Drosophila melanogaster: one gene and its partners. Changing the gene in region 1 together with any one later gene gives a genetic interaction. Each region holds a gene or a part of one and is shown on either strand. Other genes may lie near its edges. The genes, in order: Cdk4, upd1 and Rbf.

Region 1 (3,755 bases):
GCCTCTCGTGCGAAGAGAGCCGGACCTATCCCAACAACAAAGCAACCGCGTCCCATTATTAAATCCCACCCAAGTCGCTCACCTTCGCCGATGATGTTGAGCTCCTGGTAGTTGAACGGATCGCCATCGCCGAACTTCTTCGCCTGGGACATTTTCTGCCGCTTCAGCTGGCGTACATATGACATTTAGCTGGATTTTACGGTTATTTGCGTATTCCTCTAATATTCCGGGTAATCGAAACCGTTAGTTGCACCAGCTGGAAGTGAAGGGGTGTTTTTTTTTTGGTTATCGATCGTCTGCATGTCACGTATCGATATGTCCTTGTGTCCCCACGCGATAGTTCACACAGATCGTAGCGTGAGAGGGAGAGTGCGAGTGCGTGAGAGAGAGAGGGAGGGCCTTACCTGATTTCATACCTGTTGCCTTTTCTAGATAACCCCAAAACTGGCGATAAAGACTGGTGTGACAGGTGCGCTAATGGAAGAAGTCTGGCTATATGCTCCGCTATGCTTTTCTATCTCCGAGAACCGAAAACCGAAACATATACATGGACAACTACATATGTATGTATGTATGTAGATGGCGGCGGTCGTTGAACCGCGTTTAATGTTTTCGTACATACTCCGTTTTTATGTCTAACCAATCGCAGAACGGCAAAGGCCAACACTAGTTATGACTTATTCATGTTATTCAGTGACGCTGCTCGCCGTCTCCGTTTTGCGGCTTCGTTCGTGCATCCTGTTGCTCTTATTCGAGCTTGACTGTGAACGCTGTACTGGTTATCTACTGTCGCGTTAGTTGGCGTGTGTCCACTATTCTCTCCTATCTAAAGTGCTACCACTTTTCTGTCAGTGCATTTTTTTTGCCCGAAAAATATACATATACCGCAAAAAAGAACCCGAATACAATGTATTTTGTTGCTGGCATTTGTCAATTAATTCTAATCGCGAGACAAGCGAAACAACAATAATAAGCGACACAGTCACAAAACTGGGTAGAAAGAGAGTGTCCAGAATTGTGAAAGGTATTACGAGGTATTACGAGCTGTATATTTGGGTCTAAAATACATAGTTATTGTTGCACCAGTTTTCGCCCCCTCTCTCTCCCTCGTCATCCCTCTCTCGCTCACCATTTGCGCTCTACTGATAAGGAAATTTCGGCTTCACTTTACTTTTTTTTCGGTGAACTTCAATGCCAATGTTGTCGTTTTTCTTTCAACCGTTGTGCGAAATATTAGTTAAATATTAAGAAAATGTGGTTTTTATTTGCGAAGACTCGAACACACACACAACGCCGCTAAGTGATTTCGCTTGAGAGATCGGTCTTACACACACACACATACACAAACACAAACGCACACACCGAGTGGTACACACACACAGGCGCAGGTATTATGTATACATATATGATTTTTATTCGCTTTGACGAAATTTTGGCATTTGTTGATAATCCAGCTAGAACCGCACGATAGGAGCAACGCGACGCGAATTTTCGGTGCGAACACGGTTCAGTTGCCGGCAGTCGCACTTTAATTAAGTTTTTAAAACGTCTTATAAATTTTTACCAATATTCGTAAGAGTTGAGTGATTTTGTGTTTTGTTGTTGGCACAGCTCTGGAAACTGTTTTAGATGGTCTACTTAACAGTGGCTTCTCTTCGCCTGTTATCGCCCGCTGTTAGCAAACAGACGGCCGCTAACATTGTGCTGTATACGTCCAATCGGTTAAACGGTTAATTTCGAAATTGCTGCCAGCGATCGTTATTGAATGTTATTCCAATTCGATAACGTAAGTGTTATTGTGTTATACTAATGTTATTGATTTCTGGGAATTTGATATTTTCAACTTGTAATAATGCCCAAATTTATTTTTTTTGCAATGTGAATTTCAGGCATTTATATATGTAACATATATAAATTACAAATAAATAAATAATAATAAACATAATGAAAATAATATTTGAAAAAAATTTTTATTACATACGATAAAATGTGAAAATTTTAAAACTGTCGTGGTCAACTACAATTGGTCGGCCATAATTAGTTAACTCCAAACATGTGTGTCATTGACTTTTAGCATTTTTAGGATTTGGTAAACTTAAATTTTTATAACCCTGCAAAATAATACAAAATTCTGGAATAAAATGTCTTAATGATCTAGATTGGCGGCATAATTCAATTTGTAACTCAATCCGGCGATAAAGTCACTCGTTGAATGTATAATTTATTGACATGAGTTGAATGCCAAAAGTCGCTCAACATTTTTTTGAGTGAAAGCTTGCTTACCGATTTCCAACGATCTGGCCGCACTGCCAATTTCGAAATCGAATCAAGGCATTCGCAGTGGGGCGCGTAAATTTAAAAACAATGTTGCAAATACATTGTGAAACCAATAAACGCATTTAACAAACCGCCTATCACAAATGTTACCCATTGGATTGGCGAAAATTTCCATGTTTTTTTTTGGGGAAAAAGCGCGATTAATTAGTAACGAAATCAAATTAGAGCACAGTGACGAAGTCAGCCGAGTGCTAATTACCACCAGCGGGTATCAGGCACCTAAATTATGCATGACGTACGCCTTTCCGGCTCAAAGTGAAAGGGCAAACAGCGAATGCGAATGCGAATGCGATTGGTCAGGATGGATGTGTTTTGTTGGGAAATGAAAATATCACTTTCCCAGACAGCCGGAACGTGCCCACCTTTCTCACCTTTGGTGGGCGCCAGTCGGCGATTGGCATTTGTGATTCAATTGCTGCAGCCCATCTTGGCCCACTTAGCACCTGGATGAGTCGTATTCCTTCGCGGAAGTCAACGCCCAGCCGTGTAGCATACCTCACCCAATTAGAACATATGCATTTCCGATTCCAAGCCAAACTGATTTCACAGAAAAAACTTTTCATGAATGAATAATGAATGAGTGTGCTATCAGGATTTCTGGGTATCATAATCGGCTTTGTCTTTCAACCGCCTGACAACTAATAATTTCCGAGGAAGCTGCCAACGGATTAGCCATTTAATTTGCATTAGTTTGTGTGTCTGGAACGTTGCCGGAATAATGGTATTATATGGTATACCGTTAGGATCCGGTCGAATCTGAAATTCACCGATCGGCAAATAGACGCAAGTCGCTGATAAGCATTTATATTTTGTTTTTCACTCTCTGACATTTTGTCGGCCTGTGACGAAGGCGCTTATCGGCGCTGGCGATTAATCTTATTGCGTTTCAAACCGGCTGCGAGCCAAAAAACTAATTAAATGAAATTTATTGTACAAATATTATGGTCAAAATGGCTTGGTTCTGGCTAAAAATACGCAAGAAAATGCCAAGCCAAACAAAGAGTCCAAATGAATCGCGCGTTCTGAGCCCGTTTTTTCTTCTCTATTTTTATTCTTTTTTTAATTCGGGGGTGTTGACGGGCAATTTGGCTAAATGTTAGCCAATTGAATAAATCAGCCAGCAGCAGCAGCACGGCAGTCTGCCGAAGCAACCGGTTGGCCATTGACACGGCCAAGACGGGTCTTGAAATCGACAAACTAATGCCACTTGGCCAACAACGTCACTGGCCCAGCGAATCGAACACACTAGTTCCAAACCCGAACCCCATCGATGATCGGAGATCGCAGTTCTGAGATGCGAGATCCAAGATCTGATCCACTGATCACGTGCGGCAAGAAGGGGGTTTTCTCTTTTGGCCAGCGGTATCCGGAGAACCGATCCAGTCGAGCGCGGCTCATTACCATTGGCATTAAACAAG
Region 2 (3,755 bases), on another chromosome or scaffold:
CCGTGGTGCTGTTTTTAGCTGTGGTCGCAGCGCACTGCCAACCAACTACTGTCCGCGGTCCGTATCGAAATCAGTGTGCAGATACAGCGAACGGGGTTACAATATATATATATAGGATATATGTGAAGGGTGGGGATGGGGGGTCAGAAGGGAAGAGATGTGGAGAAAAAACACTATGAGTATCGAGAATGCAAAAGTAAATTCAATTTTCTGCTACAACGCGCGACGACCAACGATCAACTGCTATCACTGTTCCTCCCTGACTAGATGGTTAACTAACTGGACTCCCTTGGGAGTGGATGGGTTACTGGGTGGGATTGGGTGGTCGGGTGCTTCGATGCTGGAGCTCTGAGGTGATCGGGATTACGGGTCGGATGATCGGCCGAGCCTCCTTCAATGCGAATGCAACTGCAACCAGACAACAGTCTCAACAATTTGGTTCGATTTTTTTAACATTTTCTCTATGTTTGTTTTGCGGTTTTTTTTGCTTTTCGTTGTTTTTTTTTTTTTGTCTTTTCCAGAGCGATATGTGTGTATATTGAGGGCGGGGAAACTTTTTAATTTAGACAATTAACTCGAGAGTAGCCTGAGCGAATAACGAAGACGTATCGATCCAAGTTTCGAGGATCTAATCTTCTCCAGGCGACAAATCTCTGCCTTCTGGCTTGGCTTGGCTTTAACTTCCAGTGTGTGAAAGTGTATGGAAACTTTTGAGGTTGAATTTTGGATTTGGGGCTAATTCTAAAATTTGAACATTTCAAATTCTCCATTCAAGTTAGCTACTTTATCTGACAGGATTAAAATTCGAGACTGAAGATCGTTTGCTGCTAAAAACGAACGGAAAGGATTCGCACAAGTAACAATATCCTGAATGGATTTGCATTTTAATGCAGAGCGAATTAATTAAACTATATAATTTAATCCTAATTCCCAAAATTGCAGTTGCTGTCACAGAATGTCCTTTTTGCTTAACAGTAGATCGTTGGTCGTTTCTTGTTGATAAGTCACTTGAAGAGTGGAGAATTGATATTGACCAAAATATCCTTTTCGATCGCTTCTCCACTCTCCAATTGTGCCTGCTCTTAAGTCTTGATCAAATTAAAAATAATACACACACCGCATTATAGATGAAAAATGGAATCGTTCAGGATCCTCGCGGGATCCCCGTGGTTTGTGCTGCGCCTGAGCTCCCAAAAGTCTGTACGTTAATCCAAATGTTCGATGATCGTTCGAGATTCGTTGTTCGTTGATTTTCCGGCGGTTTTCAATGGACACACTTGCAGCACAACACTCGCAAAAAAATGTATTTATATATAATATTTGTGAGACCACTTGACCACAGATCGAGTTCAAATCCGTGCTTCAGTTTGTGTTCTGATTTGGTGATTTCGATGCTTTGGAGACTGATTCGCGGACACTTCTGCTCGCGTTCGAGTGTGAAACCGAACTGAGCCCAAAGTCGCGCTGGATTTGACCAGCTTTCTTCGCTGAGAGGCTGCGGATACCAGATACCAGAATACCAGAGCGATACCGACCGACCACCGACCAACCGACCGACCGATGAGCAGCGCCAAAAGGCCGAAACCGAAACTGAAATGGGAACTGAGGCGAGCTGAGCGGCCTCTGCCGGCGTCGCTGCCCGCCGAGTGCCGACGAGCGGTACGCCATGGTCCGAGCCAGAAGAAGACCGCCGATTCGGACCGATCAGATTCAGATCCGAAGAACCGCAGGCTGTCCCGCTCCCGCGCCCGCTCTCACCGATCGTATTCGGGGTATCCTATTCCCAGGTCACCTGCACGTGTGTGCGTATGCGCCTACCTGGCCGAAGTGTGTATTGGTGCCGTCTTTGAGCCTGCCAACCGGCTGTCCTCGCGCGCCATCCCGCTCGCTCCTGCGGACCAGGGCGATCTTGGGCCGGTCGCCATTGCAACTGGAATTTTCCCACTTGCCCAATCCGCGTCACTCACTCAAAGAGCGGGAAAAGAAGAGAGGCAGCCTACCTGGTGCCCCAAAAGACCAGGCCTACCTGGCTCTGTCTCACTCTTCTAAGCCCGGTCAGCTAGGTCCTCTCTCTCTCTCCCTCTCTCAAACTCTCTGGGTGACCTTGAGCGGCCTGCTCACCCCTCCCAAAAAGTCCTGACATTCAAATCGGTCTAGAAAGTGATCAACGGAAATGACCAACATAACACCGCTATTCAGCTCGCTAATCCAGGTAAACTATCCATTCGAGAACTATCCACGAGGAACGTTAACCAATATTACATTTTCTTCAACTTTTTCTAACAACTAGTAAATTGCTATATATTTTGTATATTAAAATTAATTTAGTAATTATAAGGAATAAAGCGTAAAATAGGATAAAGCACTAAGGAATCAACCAATTGTGCAGTTACAATTCTTCTCAATACCAGTAGTAATATATATAATAATACATAATATATACATTTTTATAGTAATATTATTTATACGTGTTCGAACCACAATCAATATAACTGAAGTAGTGATTTTGGCACTCACAATCTATTATATATGTATATACCATTCAAATTCATTTGACATGATTCAAGTTGTTTAAATGAAGTTAATAATATACATATATATGCCTAAATCTGTTCGTATGGGTAATTAATTAATAAAGATTTACATAAAAATCGTAAAACATTAAGTTGTTTCATCATTTTTTGATACATTTATAACTCACCTCAAATTATTTATTTTGATAATCGCAGCGCTGATATTTGACCATCTCGATGAGTTCGGCTTGATATTGTCGCAATTCCGCTTTGGGTGGGTAACTAGAAGAAGAGTGTGAAATCTCTGGCCAGTGGGCCAGGTACTCCCAACTGGCGAACCCCCGGACGCCCATCTACCTAGGACATCCCTATGTCAAATATGCCCATATTTCTCCCTACTTTCGAGGGCTTGCACAATTGACGGTCTAATTAAATTGAGAGTTTTGCTGCATTATGGCCGCATTGTTTTGGGCAGCCGAAAACAGCTGTAGATGGTCAGATAGCGGGCCGAAACGGACAGCGGACGGTGTGTCCTTGCGTCTAACCGTAAGTGCAGCGTGCAGCAACTGCTGCAGGAAGCAGTTGTGTTGCGCAGCGGGGCCACTCGCCTTTATTTCGCCGCAAGGCAGGACGGACGCACAGGACTCGAATCTCGCAGGACCCACAACCCACAGAGAGGGACTCGCTCGCATATATCACATATATCAAGGTGGCAGCGCACACCTTTTGTGCGACCTCTCCTTTGGGAAACGGGCGGCAAGGCACAAAAAGGGCAATTCGCACCCGGAGCAACAGCTTCATCTCCTAGATGCTGTCAGGATGGATCGGGATCGGTATCGGTATCGGGATACTCGTACGCCCGAGATGGACACGATTATTGCGTTGATGAGCTCCTGCTGCTGCTGTCGGTACACACACACACAGCATTCCCGGCGGGGAGGCAACCCCACACCCAGTCGTCCAGCTTCGACTTTCTGTTTTACTTGCGATTCGTTCTGGACAACAAAAATATTTTGCTACAAAATTGAGCTGTCCTGTGAGGTCCTCGCCCGTCCAGAACGCATTGTGTCCTGTCATGGTGTAATTTTTTAGCGGCGTAGCGAATGCTAAGGATACGCTTTAATTGCCACAGCGAACACCTCGACCTCGAGACGGAAGGTTAACCGAGAGATACAAATACAGATAGAGATACATACAGATGCAGATACAAGTATCTGTAGATGTGCCATAAGGAGAACCATC
Region 3 (3,755 bases), on another chromosome or scaffold:
GAAAGTGGTGGCCTTCATGGCTTTAGCCTCCTCGGTCATGTCACAGAAGTTGGACAAAATGCAGTGCGGATTGTGACGAAAGTCCAGCTCCGTCCAGTTGCTCGGCAGGCCCTCGAATTTGGGGTTGATGAGATCGGTGCGCTTCTCGGCCAGCACATTGTTGTATATCAGGTCTATGCAGCAAATCATCAGATTGTAGGATGTCACCAGGTCCACGGTGTTGCTCGGCTTCTGGTTCTTGGCGCAGAGAAACAGGCGCCAGCAGATGTCGTCCAGCTTGATGTACGAGCACTTTCCGTGGGCGTGGTTGCCATGCAGAGAACTGTTCCAAAGAGGGAAGCTTTTTATATACACGGGGTCAGGCTGACATGATGATATACGCACATGTACTTGGAGTGCTTCTTCTCGTTGGGCGGGCACGAGAAGATCATGTCCATAATAATGCGGAAACGCTTGTGCAGCATGAATGTAATGCTGAACTTGCGGTCCAGATCCTCAATCTCGTTGACAAACTCCTGAGGCAGGTTGGCCATGTCGCACCACTGCTTAATTTTGGTCTTGAACTCGTAGATGCTGTGGGTGGGGATTGTGGAAATGGTTAGGTGTGAAACTGCAGGCATAAACGGCAACCCACCTCATCTTGCAGCAGCGCAGCAAATTGTTTAAGGACACACAATTACCCTTGACCACTGCATTCTGGCCAGTCACCGTGGGTGTGCTGGTTCTTCGGCAGGCCGTGTAAATGGCGCAGCACATCCAGTGGCTGGCTGTGCCCTTTTAGGCAGGCAATGCACAGAAAGAATGAAAGAAAGGACGTTAGGTTGGAGGCTACTGCTGCCACTTCGAAGCTCACCTCCATGGAGCACCTCTGGGACACCTCTAAGTACGTCTCGTAGCCCTGCAGCTCTGTCTGCCGATCCATGTTTAGATCCCGGCATAGGTTCGTGTACTCGGCGTTGATCATCTCCAGGCGGTCGTCGCTGGTCGCCACCAATCCGCTGACCACCTCAGCTCCCAGTTCCTGCGGGTCAGGCTCGCTCATGTCTGCGAATGATGTCTCTGTCCCGGCTGATTGCGTATGCTTGCAGCGGCGGCCGCTGCTTCTGGCGACAGCCTGGAGTCGGAAATCGGAGACGGAGGCGCCTGAATTGGAGCTAGCCGGCTAACCGGGGCGTTGCGGGCCTGGCGCCGCTGTTTACGTCTAGTGGCCTGGCGCCTAGTGGCTGCCGGTGTATGCTGCGCTTGCCGCCGCGCTCCTCGCGGACATGTAACTGCGAGAGCTTACACTTAATTACAGAAATAATGAAGTTTCCCGCCGAAATGATTTGGGCGTGTGTGTTTGTGTGCGAGTGTTTGTCGCGTGTGTGTGTGTTCGCGATACACCCTTTTCTGAGGAACACAACAAAAGAGCAGGCGAGGGGACAGAACAAACAGCGCTGGGATGCTGCGATTAGCCAGGACCACACCACGGCCACGGTTGTTGGTTAAAACACATTAACAAAATAACTATTTCACAACTTAATCGCCATGGAAAACGCGGGAAACTTGACTAGTTGCGGCGGGCAGGTGCGTGTGATCCACTCCGCGTTCGAACTATCCACTTCTAGGGCTGCGCGGACGATGTGGCCCTAGGGATGGACTTGTGCAGAAGGAAAACTAATTTATTGCCACTACTTAAAGATTTTGCAATTGCGATTGCATAGTCAGAGTCTGACACGTTAATACAAGTTAATGGATTTTTAGTTGGGCGGCCGGTATTTCGCCAGCAAAGCCATGCGGTCACACCGACGCGCGCATTCGGCCAGTTTAAACGTGGTGGGGTGGTATTACTACAGTGCTTGGCGAGTTATGCAGTGACTGCAAGCAGTATGTCGTGTTGCATACATACCTAAATTGGGGGACCCTAAAATGAATTAGAACGAAATAATTGACAAAAATATGTGTACACATATAATTTATTTGCAATGCACAATGCTATTTGCATGTGTGCGGTAAACTGACAGTGTTGGTTAGCGTTCAAGAGCATTGCACATCGGCGATATAGCTAGTTGTAATCGATAGCCGCAAATTTAAATACTGCTTTGAACTTTATGGAAATTCGCGGGAATTCTTCGCGATTCAGCTACTAACATACATACATATACACTATACAATTTAGAGAACTTGCTGTCGCAGCACATACGACCCGAGCTACGACGTGGCTAACGTAGATACCGTCTTCTGAACCTCCTGGCCAGGAGGTGGAATAGCATGTGTCGCCGCATAAAGGCCGCCGTCAGACCTGCCGCCGTGGACAGCTCGTGGTTTTCTTGAGAATCGCTGGCCAGACTGGAGCTCTCGAAGGAATTGGAGGAATTGAAAGAGTCAGAACTCTCTGCCTGCGTATTCTGATCCGCACCAGTTCTAGCACTTCTCCAAATGGGTGTTGAAGAGCCGTCGGACTTACAGCCACTGGTGTTGGTTCTGGAGTTCGGGATCTGGGTTCTGTCGGGATGCTTCTCCAGCACAAGGCAATGCTGTCTTTTGAACGGTTGACTAGCAGACACACCGTACTTGGCTATCGCGCGGTTGAGCTCAGGATCGGGGATGTATGCACCGCGCGACAAAGACTCCGTTTTTCCGATCGATTTTCTTTTGGAAATATACCCGCTGACATATCTTTTTGGTCTAGAGAAACGTCTCGCGGAGGTTGCCTTCTCAATAGTCAATTTCCTCGCGGAGGTTGCATTGTCAATGGTCAAGTTCCTCGTGGATTTTGCCTTGTCAATAGTCATTTTCCTCGCGGAGGTTGCCTTCTCAATAGTCAATTTCCTCGCGGAGGTTGCATTGTCAATGGTCAAGTTCCTCGTGGATTTTGCCTTGTCAATAGTCATTTTCCTCGCGGAGGTTGCCTTGTCAATAGTCAATTTCCTCGCGGAGGTTGCCTTGTCAATAGTCAATTTCCTCGCGGAGGTTCCCTTGTCAATAGTCAATTTCCTCGCGTTGGTTGCCTTGTCTATAGTCAATGTCCCCGCGGAGGTTGAGTTGTCAATAGTCAATTTCCTAGCGGAGGTTGCCTTGTCAATAGCCAAGATCCTCGCAGAGTTTGCCTTGTCAATAGTCAAGTTCCTCGCAGAATTTGCCTTGTCAATAATCAATTTCCTTCGCTCCGCCTCCTCCGTCTGCAAAGTCTTGTGGTGCACCTCAACGCGATCCACAAGATTCTTGGCCGCCTTCTGATCAGCTAAATTCATCTCTGCACGCACCTTGCGGAGAGCAAGGCAGTCAATGATGCTATGACTCTGCCAAGTGACCTCCAGGTCGGCGGGGATTGGTGTTCCCTCTGACGCCAAGCAGCCCTGACTCGTCATTACTTGTTTCTGGCAAATGTCCATGAACTTGTCTCGCCGGCTAAGCAACGCGTGAGGCGCCAGGTCCACATCCCCCAGTTTCCGGTGATTAAAGTGGGTGATTAGTTTTCCGGTATGCGAATTTACCCCCACGACGGTTGCGACATCGAAGTGCTCTGGACAGCGTATGCGCATCTCGCTGAGCGAGCAGGCCAAATCCAGATTTGACCGGCACCACACTACCATATCCTCCTCGTCGTCCTGTTGCGGCTCGACATAGGGAATTAACCGCTGCAAGTTCGGACGCGGCGTTCCCACGTCGCAGAGGGCATTAAAAGATGCAGAGCATTTCATTTCTAAATATAAAATTTATATTTTTTTGTACAAAAACTTCAGGCCAACTTATAAAACTGTGTGAGGGGAAAC

Evidence for each region.
Region 2: of Cdk4 (region 1) and upd1, changing one suppresses a phenotype caused by changing the other (phenotypic suppression), as found in Drosophila melanogaster (one study listed by BioGRID).
Region 3: of Cdk4 (region 1) and Rbf, changing one suppresses a phenotype caused by changing the other (phenotypic suppression), as found in Drosophila melanogaster (2 studies listed by BioGRID).

Annotation. Positions count from the first base shown.
Region 1 is NT_033778.4:16,577,343-16,581,097, reverse strand, and holds the start of Cdk4 (Cyclin-dependent kinase 4), read right to left. Parts: upstream 1,629-3,755; 5' UTR 1,565-1,628; intron 1,535-1,564; exon of another isoform or gene 1,172-1,534; intron 993-1,171; exon of another isoform or gene 405-992; intron 266-404; exon of another isoform or gene 257-265; 5' UTR 186-256; coding exon 83-185; intron 1-82.
Region 2 is NC_004354.4:18,307,692-18,311,446, forward strand, and holds the start of upd1 (unpaired 1), read right to left. Parts: upstream 1,601-3,755; 5' UTR 1,118-1,600; intron 569-1,117; exon of another isoform or gene 46-568; 5' UTR 1-45.
Region 3 is NC_004354.4:799,744-803,498, forward strand, and holds the start of Rbf (Retinoblastoma-family protein), read right to left. Parts: upstream 1,737-3,755; 5' UTR 1,043-1,736; coding exon 854-1,042; intron 775-853; coding exon 635-774; intron 574-634; coding exon 385-573; intron 323-384; coding exon 1-322. Other genes in the region: CG13359 (uncharacterized protein), read right to left, coding at 2,202-3,683.